2 linked regions of the Tribolium castaneum genome follow. The protein of the gene in region 2 interacts with the protein of the main gene of each other region in a pairwise test. Links are inferred from orthologs where the notes say so. Each region holds a gene or a part of one and is shown on either strand. Other genes may lie near its edges.

Region 1 (6,282 bases), on a different chromosome or scaffold from region 2:
TATAAAGTGAAGAAAAAAGATGAAAGAGTTGAAAATAGTGAGAGATTAAGCTTAAAAAAAGCTGTCTGAATACAATTTCAGAACCAAAACAGAGAAATTAGTTAATGTGACAAGAACTACTTTGTCTACAAACAAGCTAAAATAGAAAAATATTGAGTTTTATAAAGCGAAGAAAGTTTTAAGGTGAGACAAGGTAAGTAAGTTTCTTTGAGGCGAAGACGAAGATGATGAGTTAAGTTTAAAATAAAGGTCTTGAAAAATGAAGACCATCCTTAAATAAGACTTACAACAAGCAAATAATGAAAACTATTAAAAAAGTATCTCAGAGAAGTTAAAGAAAAAAGTATAGAATTGGTACGACTTTTGTTGTATATGATCGAGCATATTAACAAAGAGATATTTAATTAATTAACAAAAAGCTCTAAAAGGACTTAATGCTTTAACGTCCATTATATCCATTATGTTGGTAAGATATTCGCGTTCAATCCAGGGTCTCTGGTTCGAATTATTGCGAATCCAAGTTTTTTTTAATTTCGTAATATTGCGCAATTTGATGTATTACTGTATTATAATTATATGTATTATAATAGCTAAATAGCTCAGTTAGTAAAGAGTTAGATAGATAATTACAAGGTTTTGAGTTCGATTCCTATCGCCGCCTTTTTTATTGAGAATGCAGTTGTTCTTAAATCTGAACTGGTGGGATCTCGAGTGGCCATAGAGATTGACGGGCAACTGAGTGCTGCCAAATATTCTCAAAACATTTCTCGGTTTTAGGACTCTTCCATCTATTCATGACTTACAGTAATATCGAACAACAATGACCTGTCCTGTTGATTCGCCAAAGGCTCATGAGTCGAAGACGAATTCAGGATTGATGGTCGTGCCGATGATTCTCCTCGATAAACACATACCTATAAACGGTATAAGCTGTCGTGAAAGAGGAGATGCTGTAAGAATAGATCGGATTGTAAGGTTTTTTGGGTGCTTTTAATGTAATTTTGTTTGATTTTGGATGATTTTCCCGTGTGCCCTTTTTCTGGTGGTCTATTGAGTTTCGAGTATTTTTTGGGAGCATAAAAAATTATGCTCTTTGATTTGGTGTTGTTTTTCTCTTTTTTTTTGCATGCGCCAATTGGTCTGGTCCAGAAATAAAAAGCCATTTTGGAGTGTCTAAAAACACGGTATGTTGTAAGTTTTTTAGAGTGCTCGTGAGATAATTTTACATGATTTTGGGAGATTAACGGTTTTTTCGTGTGCCCAATCTTTGGTGGTCTACACATTTTTGGGAACTGTTAGGGTGGATAAAAATTAATGATTTTTGAGAGGTTTTAGGCCCTATTCAGTTGTTTTCTTTTGGGCAAACAGCTAAATTTGTAAATTTTGCCTTGTTTTTTAAGTCGCTTTAAGTTGTTATTTATTGATTTTTCCTTGCGCCAATAGGCTTGGTCCAGAAATGATCAAAGCTGTTTTGAGGTGTGTGAAATTTGGAGATTTGACAATGGTTTTAGAGCAGTTTTGAGGTAATTTTAATTGATTTTCGCATGCGCCAATTGACTTGGTCCAGAAATGAAGAGCTATTTTTGGGGTGTCTAAAATCAAGGCATTTTGTAAGTTTTTTAGATCTTTTTCGGATGGTTACTTTTGGGAAAACTGTAAATTTGTAGGATTCTACCCTGTTTTTCTTTTGGTGGCCTACATATATTTGGGAACTTTTGGAGTGGATAAAAATTAATGATTTTTGAGAGGTTTTAGGCCCTATTCGGTTGTTTGCTTTTGGGCAAACAGCTAAATTTGTAAGGTTCTAACATGTTTTTTAAGACGCCAAATGTTCTGGCCCAGAAGTAACATTCTATACTCTACTTTTATATGTAAGCGATTCTCTACCACACACCACTGAGTTGGTGCGCCAGTTTTTTAGCACCCGGTACATAAAAATTTCGCTAAAATGTTTTGTATTTTATATTTATATTTGTATATTAGCGCAAAAACTAAGTTTCAGCGATTTTGCTGGTAATGTTTTATTCATATTCTTATACAATTATTCTTGTGGTGTTTAATTTTATTCACTTTGTTACTTGCTGTTGTCGCGACCGAATAAACGCCTTATAAATAAAATCAAAATTTTACGGTTTAGAAGCTTCAAATTCGTTGGCTAATGATATTAAATATTATTGACATATTGTTTTGATTTTGTTATACTTTATTTTTGTATCTTGCTACAAATTGTAGTAACAAGCCACAAAGTTAAGTGCATTTTTTTTCATGTAAGATTTTAAATATGTGGTACTTACTAATAAATAACATCTTGTATTGACTTTGTTTTTATTTTATTTTTAATGTCTTACTTCAAACTGTAGTAGAAAAAGATACCCTGAAGGTAAGTGTATTTTTTTATTAAGAACATTTGATTTTTGTTTTGTGTTTTATTTCACAAACCTCCACGTGGCTGTTCCTGAACAAGTTACTTATTAATTTAACTAATTAGAACAATCTTTATATGTACTGTGTATAGCTAGTTGCATTTTTACAGGCGTAAAATTATGTTTAAATAATAATAAACTAATTATTTTTGACTCTCAGCGATGAGGTCGTAAACAGGTTGGAGCTTTTCAGCACCTGTAGCCATAGTGGCTTAACTTTCATTACGTTGGTGCCGCTTGGTGCCGCTCCAAATGTCACAAATTTCAAATTACATAACGCGGGCTTTAGCACCAAAACAAAAAAATGAAGCCTTCTTCATCCCCCTGTAACGCCTGTCTGGACCCCAAACTATCCATAATTTCAGTGCTGTGCCGCATTTGTTATGACAACGACAAAGACGAAGCTTTGATAGCCCCCTGTCATTGCAAGGTGCATTCCCTACATCTCCCATTGATTTTTAACAAAAAAAAAACCTGTAGGGTACTGTAGCATTCGTCCACAGGAGTTGTCTCGAGCGATGGTTAGCCGAATCCAACACCACAATGTGCGAACTGTGTCATGTTGTCTTTCGAACCGAACGTTCCCCCAAATACACTTCACAGCAGTCAATTTGGCGGTGGTTGCGGAGCCACCGGAGCCCCGGGGGCATCGGTAGGGGGGTCCGGAGCGATATTATCGCATGCACGGTTATAACCCCCGTTGCTATAATCATAACTTACGTCTGCTTGTTTTCTTCCGATTATTACAACCAGAAAAAATTTATTATGGTCCCGGCTGCTCGTTGGACTTCTGTCTCTCTTCTCATAATGATTGGGATAATGCTGATTGGTTATTACTTGTGGGTTTATTCAGTTATTCGGCTTCATTCACGAATGTGGTACAACTGGTGGCAAAGAGAATGTGTCGTGAGGTACATACCCCCCAGTACGGCCCATATTTGCTGCCACAGCCCCCTTGAGACAGCCAACCCAAACAATACCCCTACTGAAGACAATGAAGACGCTAGAAGTAGAAACGACAGTGAAGTTGAGCAAAATAATGAAGAGGTAGAACAAGGGGGCTCCGAACCAACTGTTGTCATTGAAATGCCTGAAGACGAAAATAAAGAAACGACTGTTTGAGCAATCTTATTTATATATTTATTAATTTGTTGCATATTACAAGAGTCTCGTATAATATATTCCCTGATTTATCACGCCTTTGATTAATAAATAACTAATTTCAATTGAGAGAAAAGTGAGGTTAGGTTAAACGTCAAACGTTTCAAAACAATGCTCCTAAAGAGGAGTTCACAAGTTGTGTACTTTATTCCAACAATTTCCTCAAAACTTGAAACTAATTGATAAAGCAAATAGTAATTTTTGTAGAAGCATTTTGGAAACAATTTGAAGTGTGGCTCCATGTTCTTTGTTTATTTTATACGTTAGGTGTAGTTATAATAATGTGGGTCATGTGTCCCGTAGACGGGCCTTTAGAATCATCCTGAAATGACAAGTGACATTTCACAACTCTGGCACTTATCTCAGCGGTGCGTTATTAGTGTGGTCTTTTTCTTGCACACGGGAACTCTGGCGACGTGTGTCGTCTCTTATTGCAACTTTCTCCCAGTATGACGTTTGCCTTTTCGTTGTGTTTGTGCTTCTAATCTGATAAAATAATTATTTTGAGTTAATTGTTGTGTTACATTTGTGTGTAGCGTTCGTTAGTTGTGTTGAGATCGTCTCGTAGAATAGTTTGAGTGTGGTGACACCTCATGTGATAAAAATAGCATTAACGTCATTAATTATGTTTAATTAGTTCCCCATACAATACAATACATGACTAAAATGTGATACAACAATCGTAAGACTGAAAATAGGTTGTTATTCAATCGAAGATGAGTGAAAACGAAGACAATGAATTGGACCCTCGAATACAGATCGAACTCGAGAAGCTCAACACCACCACAGATGAAATCAATCGACTAGAAATAGAATACGATGTAAGCCCCCATTTTGTACTTTATTTTTGCAGGTAAATTTTTACTTTAGCTACTTCTGGATTTTTGAAAATTTTTTTTTTGCATTTTGCTTTAAAAAGCCTCTAGATCAAAGATATGACCATGAAAGTTTGTGCAAATGCCCCGTTTTCGAAAAATTCGACTTTGAATGACCTTGACCTAGACTTTTTAAATTTTATTAACACTCTAATAAATGATATTAGCCGTAAATATAACTATAAATGAGGCAAGGCGCCTACAGATGATAGCCCACAGGCTGGGGCTTCGCCCCAGCGACCTAAAAATAAACATACCCCACGGACGATTAAACTCGAAAATGTTGAACTCGAAACGTGGAATAGTGATTTTTATGGAGCTACAGCGCGTACAGGTCGTAGGGTACAGGCTGGGGCTTCGCCCCAGCAAACTAAAAATAAACACCCCACGAACAATTAAACTCGAAACCGTGGAACTCGAAACGTGGAATAGTGGTTTTTATGGAACTATGTTGCGCGTGGCAACTAAAAGGAAACATACCCCACGACCAATTAAACTCGAAAACGTGGAACTCGACACGTGGAATAGTGTTTTTTATGGAGCTAGGGTGCCGTACAGTTCGTGGCAGGAGGCTGGGGCTGCGCCCCAGCTAACTAAAAGGAAATATACACCACGATTGGTAAATTAACCTCAAGAACGTAGCACTCACAAAAAAATACCTTGTTCACCACTAGTAAGTAAAATAGTAATGGAGTGGTGTTGTTGGTAAATTGCATGAAGAGAAATGCGGGAATGCATCCCCACTTCCGTCAATCAGCCAATCAGAGCACAGAGACATAAATTCAAATTGCAAAATATGAAAAAATACTTTTTAATGAAAAAGGTATAATACGTCATTTAAATTCATTCTGGGAATACCCGAAGGTGTTATAATCATAACAAACACGCAGGTGCGATTCTTACCTGTTGAAGCTAAACAATAACAACCAATCAGAAATAAGCACACGCAACGCATGCACACCCTGGTGGCGAACGTTGTATCCCTTAAAATCAACAAAAATGGCGATTCAAGTGAAATGAGTGAAAATAAAAATTATTTTTGTAATGTTATTTTCAATTTGCACAAGAAAATTCATAGTGTACGGTCATCAGGGCACTCAGAGGAATCGTTTGGCGTAAGTTTCAGCTTGAAAATCCAGAAGTAGTTAAAGTAAAAAATTACCAATGTTTCTTGTGTTAAAATCACAAAAAACAATTTTTCTAATGAAAAATGAACATTTACAATATTGTTGATGTTCTACCAGCCCCAGTTAAAATTACGATAGTGGCGTTCTCTGGTGGTTCATTCTTTGCGAAATGGCGGGAAATTTAAATGTGACATTAAGCTGTTACTTTACATGTCTTATATCATAAATAGGCAACTTTTGAACTATTGAAACATGTTTGACAGTATTTTAGGCTAAAACACAGTAATTATTCCTCAAATTTCGTAAAGAATCGGCTTAAAAATTTTGTGTCTTGACATTTTACTAACACTGTACTTGAAAGCGACAACAGCCTAAGTTTATATGTTTTTTCAAAAAAATAAATAATAATTAAAAGTGAACAGTGGAAAAAGTGATCAGCATAATGTTAGAACAACAATGTATTAAGACCAAATTATTTATAAAACATAGTGACCACTGGAAAATTATTTTAATTTTTTTCACCTGTAACGACTGGACTTTTTGGACTTTGGTAGTATTTACTTATTTGAATGTAACATCATCTTGTGTTGAAGAAAAAAATGTGAAGATGGAGGACAATTTAAGTTTATCAGAAGTTTGGTTTCAGTTAAGAAAAGCATACATAGGAAAATTATATTTTAAACAGAACATTTGCCT
Region 2 (7,201 bases):
ACTGGTTGCTCTCCTCGTCGAAGGTCTGGGGGGTGCTCGCCACTGACTCGGTGGGGGACAGTCTTTCGATTTCGTTGGCTTGTGGCACTAGGGGGAACCCCACGTCGTTGTAGGTGGCGGGGGGCTCGTTATTATCTACGTTTATTGCTACTAATGCTAAGGGGTGGATCTCCTCCACGCGCGGGGAGATTATCTGCAAGGGGTAGTCCTCAGAGCCTTCAACTTCCATCTCATTTTCTGAAACGGTTGACTTGTGTGATAATTCGCACGGAATAACGAGTTTATGGTTACCTCCGTGGTTGTAGTCATCCAAGTTCATTACTTTTTGGGTTTTTTTTCAAATAAATTTACAACCTAACCTCAAAAAACTATCCTGTCAATGTCAAATGGCGACGTCAAACTCAAGGACGTTTCAACGTCAACGACCTTCACGTCCTTGCATAAGATTTTTACGCAAAAATAACCACACGGAAATGTTTTTGCGGATTTTTCGTAACCACTAAGTGAAAAATAACTCATCTGATAACTGATAAAAATAAAAAATACAAATAATTCACGATTATGAACTTCCTCCCTGCTGGCAGTCAAATAAGCCTTTAAATCGAAAAGTTGGAAAAAACTTGCGTTTTTTATATTACTGTGGAGTCACAAAGGTTGTTCCAACTCCCGAGAAGGGGTCAAAAAGACTTTTTAGTAAAAATTTACAAAAACCTAACATTGGACAAATTTTGCGATTACATCCCGTATCTTCTTTCTGGATAAAGCTAGAAATTTATTTTTTTTGTAAAAGATTCCACCGTAAATAATGCAGTTTTACGTATTTACACAAGGTTGACTTTTGATAAAAAGAAACTAAAAATTACATTTTCTTGTAACGTCCTGTGTAATGAATTTTTCGATATGAAATGAAGTTAATAACTTAAATAAGTTTTTCATGTAAGAATCATTTCAATATCTGGAACACTCACAGTTATTACAATATAAAATTACCGCAAAATCTGCTCGAGGTGAAATCGCAGCATATTTCTAAAAATGATAAATTAACAAATTACTTTTAATCTAAGGTTACCAACCGTCCTGATTTAGCCAGGACGGGTTTAGGTTTTTACACTTATGTCCTGTTATATATGTTTTAAGTTGCCACCAAAAACACAGAATGTATCTACCTGATTTTTTTTTTCGAATAAAAACTACCGAAAATCTTCGTTTTTTCGAAAAATTTCTAAAACATGTTAATTAGATAAAAAAATTAAGATAACGGGAAAAACCATACATTTTCCGCCAATTTTTCTTCTTTTTTGGTCGAAAATAAGCCCAGATTTCCTAGGAATTCTTGCTTATAAAAGACTAGAAACCCTTAATTTTTGGTGTAATTTGAATAGGTTTTCATAAAAATTTTGCAAAAAAAGCTAAAGATGTTCGCAGCGATGCCAAAATACTAACAAAAAACAACCTTTTTTTCAAGTGTTATGACAAGATTTTACAGTATATGTATATTATTTTAACCGCCCTAACTTTCTGTTAATATTAATATCAAAAACAGTCAAGTGAACATTTTTATGCAAAATTTTCGGCTTTACAATTTTTGTTTAAAACTTTTTTTTCTAGCTTTCAGCGATTTTGAATAATCTGTAAAAAACGCTTTAATTTCGTTTCTTCAACTAAAAAATTCTTTGTCTAAACGTTTTTAACTGCTCCATGTAACTTATATAAAAAAAGCGAGCTTTTGAACATTTCGATTTACAGGCTTATTTGACTGGACCATTGAAATTATTCAATGACTGGACTAATAATAGGTGATTGTAATTGAATTTAAATCTATTTTGAAATAGTACCGAAGGAGTCTCGACCTTTCGTGGTGCTACTTATGTAAATCTGTTGCATAATCAGTGCATAAATTAAGAGTTAATGCGCAACTTTTATTTTCATGGAGTATTTGAGTTTCAAATGGACGTGGATTGTCTTAGGGTTGTAACTCACCTCAGTGCCTGTATATTCAAGATTAAAATTTTATTTTAACAGTATTCAATCGCCGATTTACAAATAAAAACAGTAACTAATTGGAAAGTGGTTATACAAAGCATTTCATTCAATTACCATACTTGAAGTGCTAAAAAACTAATCTGGTGGTTTTCACTAGCAAGAATAAACCGTAATTAATTGAAAGACTTTGTACTCGAAAGAACTAACGATAAGCATCAGTAACATCAATAAATTTCAAACACCAATATTGACAAAAGTTGAAATTAGTTCGCAAGAGCCAAAACAAGACTTTCGTATAGTGATTACTGAGACATAAGGTAAATGCAAACAATCCTTTTATTCATCTTGTACACCTTCAAAATAATTTAAGTCAGTAATCTATTGGGTAGAAAATGAAACTGCGTTTCATAACCAACTGTTGGAAAAGTGTAGAGAGAATATAGTAAAATGGCGGATTAAAATAGTTCACTAACTAAATAACTGTTCAGTTGCTCTTTCTATATCCCAGTTATACGACGACAAAGCGACCCGCGCCTGGTGCTCCTCCACTCCCATATCAACTAGCCTTTTTATTTTATCGTCACATTCTTTATTTACATGGGGACCTGCAAACAGAGCGTCACGCCGTCCTAATTGCAAACTGCATAAATTACCGCCTGCGTAAACATTTGTCCAATGTCTGGCCGTCATTTGAAACATTTCTATATTTTCCTTAAACTGCTTCGCCACCACGGCGTCCTGTGGGTCATCGGGCTCCGCAGCTGAGAGCAGCGCTTGGAGCGACAACAACACCGTCCTCAGCGTCATAGCTGCAGCCCTAGAATTTCATTTAATAACAAATACTACCACGTAATAGAAAGCACCATTGGTCCTTTAAAATGTCTAAGCAGATAGCGCCCGTTACTGATGATATATTCGGGTGCCATATCTTCGTAATGAACCTGACCTGTTACAAAACTCTTAGTCTTTTTTTTCCTGGTTATGTTGAAACGTACCTTGGGTGGATTGAAGGGGTATGTTTCAGGTACTTTAATCTCTAATACGAAGGTGCCCCCTTCGTAGGCCGTGTCCGGGGGGCCCGTGATCTCGCCTTTGAGCTCTGTATAACTATCATTTAAGAGTTCCACTTTGATGGCACATTTTGCTACCTAAATTTCAAACAAGCACGATCGTATTAGCCAAGTTTGTTGATTGTTACGAAATGACGTTGGAGTGATAACCCCTTCGCTTTGAATTTATGGCAGGGGGCATTTTTCAGTAATCAATATTTTACGTTGTGTACTGACAATTTCAAGTGTGAAAATTCGAAATGTCCGAGGAAACCGAGAACGGTAAGTGGCGTTTAGGAGTTAGAATGACATAACAGAAAAACAGTGTTTGCGAAGTTCCTACCTCTTCACTTTTAATAACCTCTTTAAACTCTCGTCGTATCCTTTGTGCTGCTATGTTAGCCATTCTGGTGGGGAAGTTCCTAAATGCAGTAAAACATAACAGATAAACCGTGGCTCTAAAAAATAGCGATTTGTTGACAAAAGTAAAAAATACACTGGCTAAAGATCGATTTTCACACTTTTAATTTCTCACTGAAGTTAGGCAAATTATGAAATGCTAAATGAAGAAATGTCACTTGTTTTCAATAGCATTATAGCCAACTTTACGGAATTTACGCGCGCGCCAAATCGGCCGAAATCTCGCAAATATTCGGGGATTTTCCCTCGGACTGCTGCAACGATGACGTAAGGGCCCCCCCGCGCGATTTCTGTTGACAATTTCGGCGATATTTTCGACGGAAATCTTCGATAAGCAGGGAGTATTTCGTCACAAGGTTTATCATTCTGGAGCGTTGTTTGCCGATAACATTAGACCCCGCTTCTGATTGGCTGCGCGTTTTGCAGTTATGCCCGTTTCCCAGCCCGTACGTGCTAAAAGCTTGTTGCGGGCAAAGTTGGAAAAGTCTTCGTTGATCCTCCAGAGCAGAATGCCGAACATTAAAGTCTTCAGCGGGACCTCGCACCCCGACCTGGCCCAGAGGATCGTGGACCGGCTGGGGATCGACTTGGGCAAAGTGGTTACGAAGAAATTCAGCAACTTGGAAACATGGTGAGTGGGCTTTGGAAATTATTTGCTTATTGACTTGGCTTAAATTGCGACTTATTATTATTATTTTATTTTAGCGTGGAAATTGGGGAGTCCGTCCGTGGGGAAGACGTGTACATCGTGCAGTCGGGCAGCGGGGAAGTTAACGACAACCTGATGGAACTCCTCATCATGATAAATGCGTGCAAAATTGCGTCCGCGAGCAGAGTCACTGCAGTCATTCCATGCTTCCCGTACGCTCGGCAAGACAAGAAGGACAAGGTGAGTGCACAATTGCTCCAATTGTGTACCTGCACATGTGTAGATAACCTAGACGCCACGTGACTTTGTATACATCTGCAAGCGGGTTTGTGGAGACCGTAGTTTTGGTTTTTAGGACAATTAGGGTTGTGGTTTTTCCTATTGACCTGACAAATTAGTCAAGCATCTGGTTTAATAATTGGACAAGTTCAATCCGACCACGTAGTTTATTAATTTGAAACAATTTGTTTACCGTTAGGTCGGCAAAAGGAGCACGTGGTTGAGAGGGCGCCACTGCCGCGACTTAAGTATTTCAAACATGTTTGCTTTGCTTAAGAAATATATGATTTATGATGTGTTAAATAGTCATAAAGGCTTTTTACTAGAATATTAGCAAAGGCATAATAAATGTAACTGCACTATTAAAAGTGATTTTGCTATATCCATTTAACAAAGACAGTCTTTAATTTGTTACTTTTTATTACTACAATTATTGTGTACTTTTAGATTTTATTGATGTTTTTCTTGACACAAAAGTGGAAAAATAAGTCTATTTCTTATCATAATAAATACTAAGTGATTGTGTGATTAAGGTTTGCCAGTATTTAAATATCAAATTCAAAATTTTATACAAATAATATACACTTCCATGCCTAGCCATCACCTGAAACAAATTAGAAGAATGACCAATAGCTCAATAATGCCAATAGATTTTTTGTCAACATGTACTCATTTGAATGTATGCGTTTTTTTCTTATGTAGTTGGTAATCTAGAGGCAAAAACGTGGTCTAATTAAATATTACCGTTCGAAATTTGATTAACTGACTCTTCAGTTTTATTAATTATAATAATCAGCCTTGCCATACAAGAAAAGAAGCCATAAAAACTTACTCTAATTATAAATTCAAATGATTGATTGGTACTATGTATTATAATAACAAGATAAAAAAAACTAGTGGGGAGTCTACAGTTGAAGAGCAGATTTCGAGAAAAATTATTAAATTTTTTTTAATTACTGAAATAATGATTTCAAAACGTGTCTAAATTACATTACGTGTTACTTTTCCTTCAAAAGACCAAATTTTTCTTTAACAAACTATTTTTCATGTGCATCATTCTACTGCTCTACCCAACCGCCTTTATCTTGAATTGTCACAGGACTAAGCAAACGAATTTAGAGAAATCATACGTTTACAAAAAAATTTACAATACACTTGATCACGATTTTTTTAATATCTTTATCTCTTTCAGTAATTTTTTGAAATAATAAGAGTTCCAGGTAAATGGAATTCTTTGCTTGTGGCAGTTTTCAAGTGCAATTTTAAGTAACATTAAAATATTATCATTTTAATTCGGGGTGTTCTTAGTGCAGGTCCCAACTGGCCTGCCCTAATTGTTTTCCCCCTCAAATATTTGTTTATTACAATTTATTGAGTAATTTGAACAAAAATATTTTATTGGTTCCTTATCTGTGTAGCAAAACCACTTTTGCTTTCAATGACGTCTAAGCGAGGAACTAGCCACAGTTCTCTTAATTAATTAAGATTCTGTATATCTATTACTAATTAGCATAACTTAAAAATAGTTGAAATGGTCGGAAATACGTCAATAAGTTCGGGTTCATGTGTGTTTATAAACTGATAATAGTGGAATGTTTAGCAAAATGCATTGCTTTAAATAGTTTTATATTTCAAGAGTAGATCAAGTAATGTAATAATGTTGAACTACTTACACTATCGTGATAATAATTAAACTCTAATTATTATGATTCTTGACTTTTTCTAACGTGACAGAGATTGAAGTTTTTTCTAAAAAGTTGAAAGAAACTTATGTAAAGTGTATTTTTATTTATAATTGCACCTGTTTTTCGTATTCTCAATGTTTCTGTTGACAAATTTCCAATTTTTTCTCTTATGCAACGTAGTTCCCATAAATAAAATTTAATTTTAACTGAAATCATTCGATTAGAATAAAGTAGATTTACACCTTCGTACATTCACATACACACTTACCTGATACGAGATTATTTTAGCCTGCGAATAAAAATGACGTCGAACGCAACGTGGAAAAATGGAAGTCAATCGAATGGAAATTCAGGGTAAAAATTGTTAAATTTTGTGAATGTTGCAGGGGCTTATTGGGAAAGTGTCGTCTGAAAATCATGTTTTTACGCCAGAGTTAGACTAGCTTTGTACGTTGTTAATAACACTGATACAAAACACAGCGTTCATACGTCGCAATTAACAAATAATAATAAAAAAATCATAAATGGGCGCGTAATTGCGACACGCTGTATATGATTCCCGGAACTGCATGCCAGGATTACAAAACGAAGGGGAAACGTACTGTTGTGAAACAATTTTACATTGACGAAATAGTCATTATTATCGTGTAACAAACATTCAGGAGTCAGAAGTCAACTTTTGTTTATCTGTTTATTGTTGGGTAAAAATTATCATCCGAAAAATGATGTAATGATCTTGAAACCATGCGATAATAATAATAATACCGAAGACTTATTAACTAACCCGACATGTCATTTTACTAATTGAAAATTTAGCTAGATAGTGGCTTGGGAATTTTGTTTAGCTTTTAACATGTTAGGTCCCTCGCCCTCGGCCCAATGCATGCCAATTTGAACCTTTGCTCAACAGAGTCGGGCCCCAATTTCGGCCAAACTGGTCGCGAACATGCTCTCGGTGGCGGGGGCCGATCACATCATCACCATGGACTTGCACGCGTCGCAAATCCAGGGCTTCTTCGACATCCCGGTGGATAATTTGTACGCCGAACCGGCGGTGTTGAAATGGATCAAGGAGAACATTGTCGAGTGGCGGAACAGTATAATAGTGTCGCCGGACGCCGGGGGCGCCAAGAGGG

Evidence for each region.
Region 1: the proteins of Ubc4 (region 2) and E3 ubiquitin-protein ligase MARCHF2 interact in binary tests that used the Homo sapiens proteins (3 or more experiments, as listed by UniProt). The link is inferred for Tribolium castaneum from reciprocal best matches to the Homo sapiens genes UBE2K and MARCHF3.

Annotation. Positions count from the first base shown.
Region 1 is NC_087395.1:3,975,881-3,982,162, forward strand, and holds E3 ubiquitin-protein ligase MARCHF2, read left to right. Parts: upstream 1-2,586; 5' UTR 2,587-2,727; coding exon 2,728-2,853; intron 2,854-2,903; coding exon 2,904-3,545; 3' UTR 3,546-3,554; downstream 3,555-6,282. Other genes in the region: pcs (SH3 domain-binding protein 5 homolog), read left to right, coding at 4,301-4,405. UniProt on the Homo sapiens protein: E3 ubiquitin-protein ligase which may be involved in endosomal trafficking. E3 ubiquitin ligases accept ubiquitin from an E2 ubiquitin-conjugating enzyme in the form of a thioester and then directly transfer the ubiquitin to targeted substrates.
Region 2 is NC_087394.1:31,293,120-31,300,320, forward strand, and holds Ubc4 (ubiquitin-conjugating enzyme E2-22 kDa), read right to left. Parts: upstream 3,795-7,201; 5' UTR 3,439-3,794; coding exon 3,376-3,438; intron 3,315-3,375; coding exon of another isoform or gene 3,293-3,314; exon of another isoform or gene 3,161-3,292; intron 3,132-3,160; coding exon 2,979-3,131; intron 2,930-2,978; coding exon 2,847-2,929; intron 2,801-2,846; coding exon 2,637-2,800; intron 2,589-2,636; coding exon 2,452-2,588; 3' UTR 1,996-2,451; downstream 1-1,995. Other genes in the region: E3 ubiquitin-protein ligase RFWD3, read right to left, coding at 1-237, 292-319; Prps (ribose-phosphate pyrophosphokinase 1), read left to right, coding at 3,293-3,314, 3,879-4,083, 4,158-4,341, 6,354-6,419, 6,976-7,201. UniProt on the Homo sapiens protein: Accepts ubiquitin from the E1 complex and catalyzes its covalent attachment to other proteins. In vitro, in the presence or in the absence of BRCA1-BARD1 E3 ubiquitin-protein ligase complex, catalyzes the synthesis of 'Lys-48'-linked polyubiquitin chains.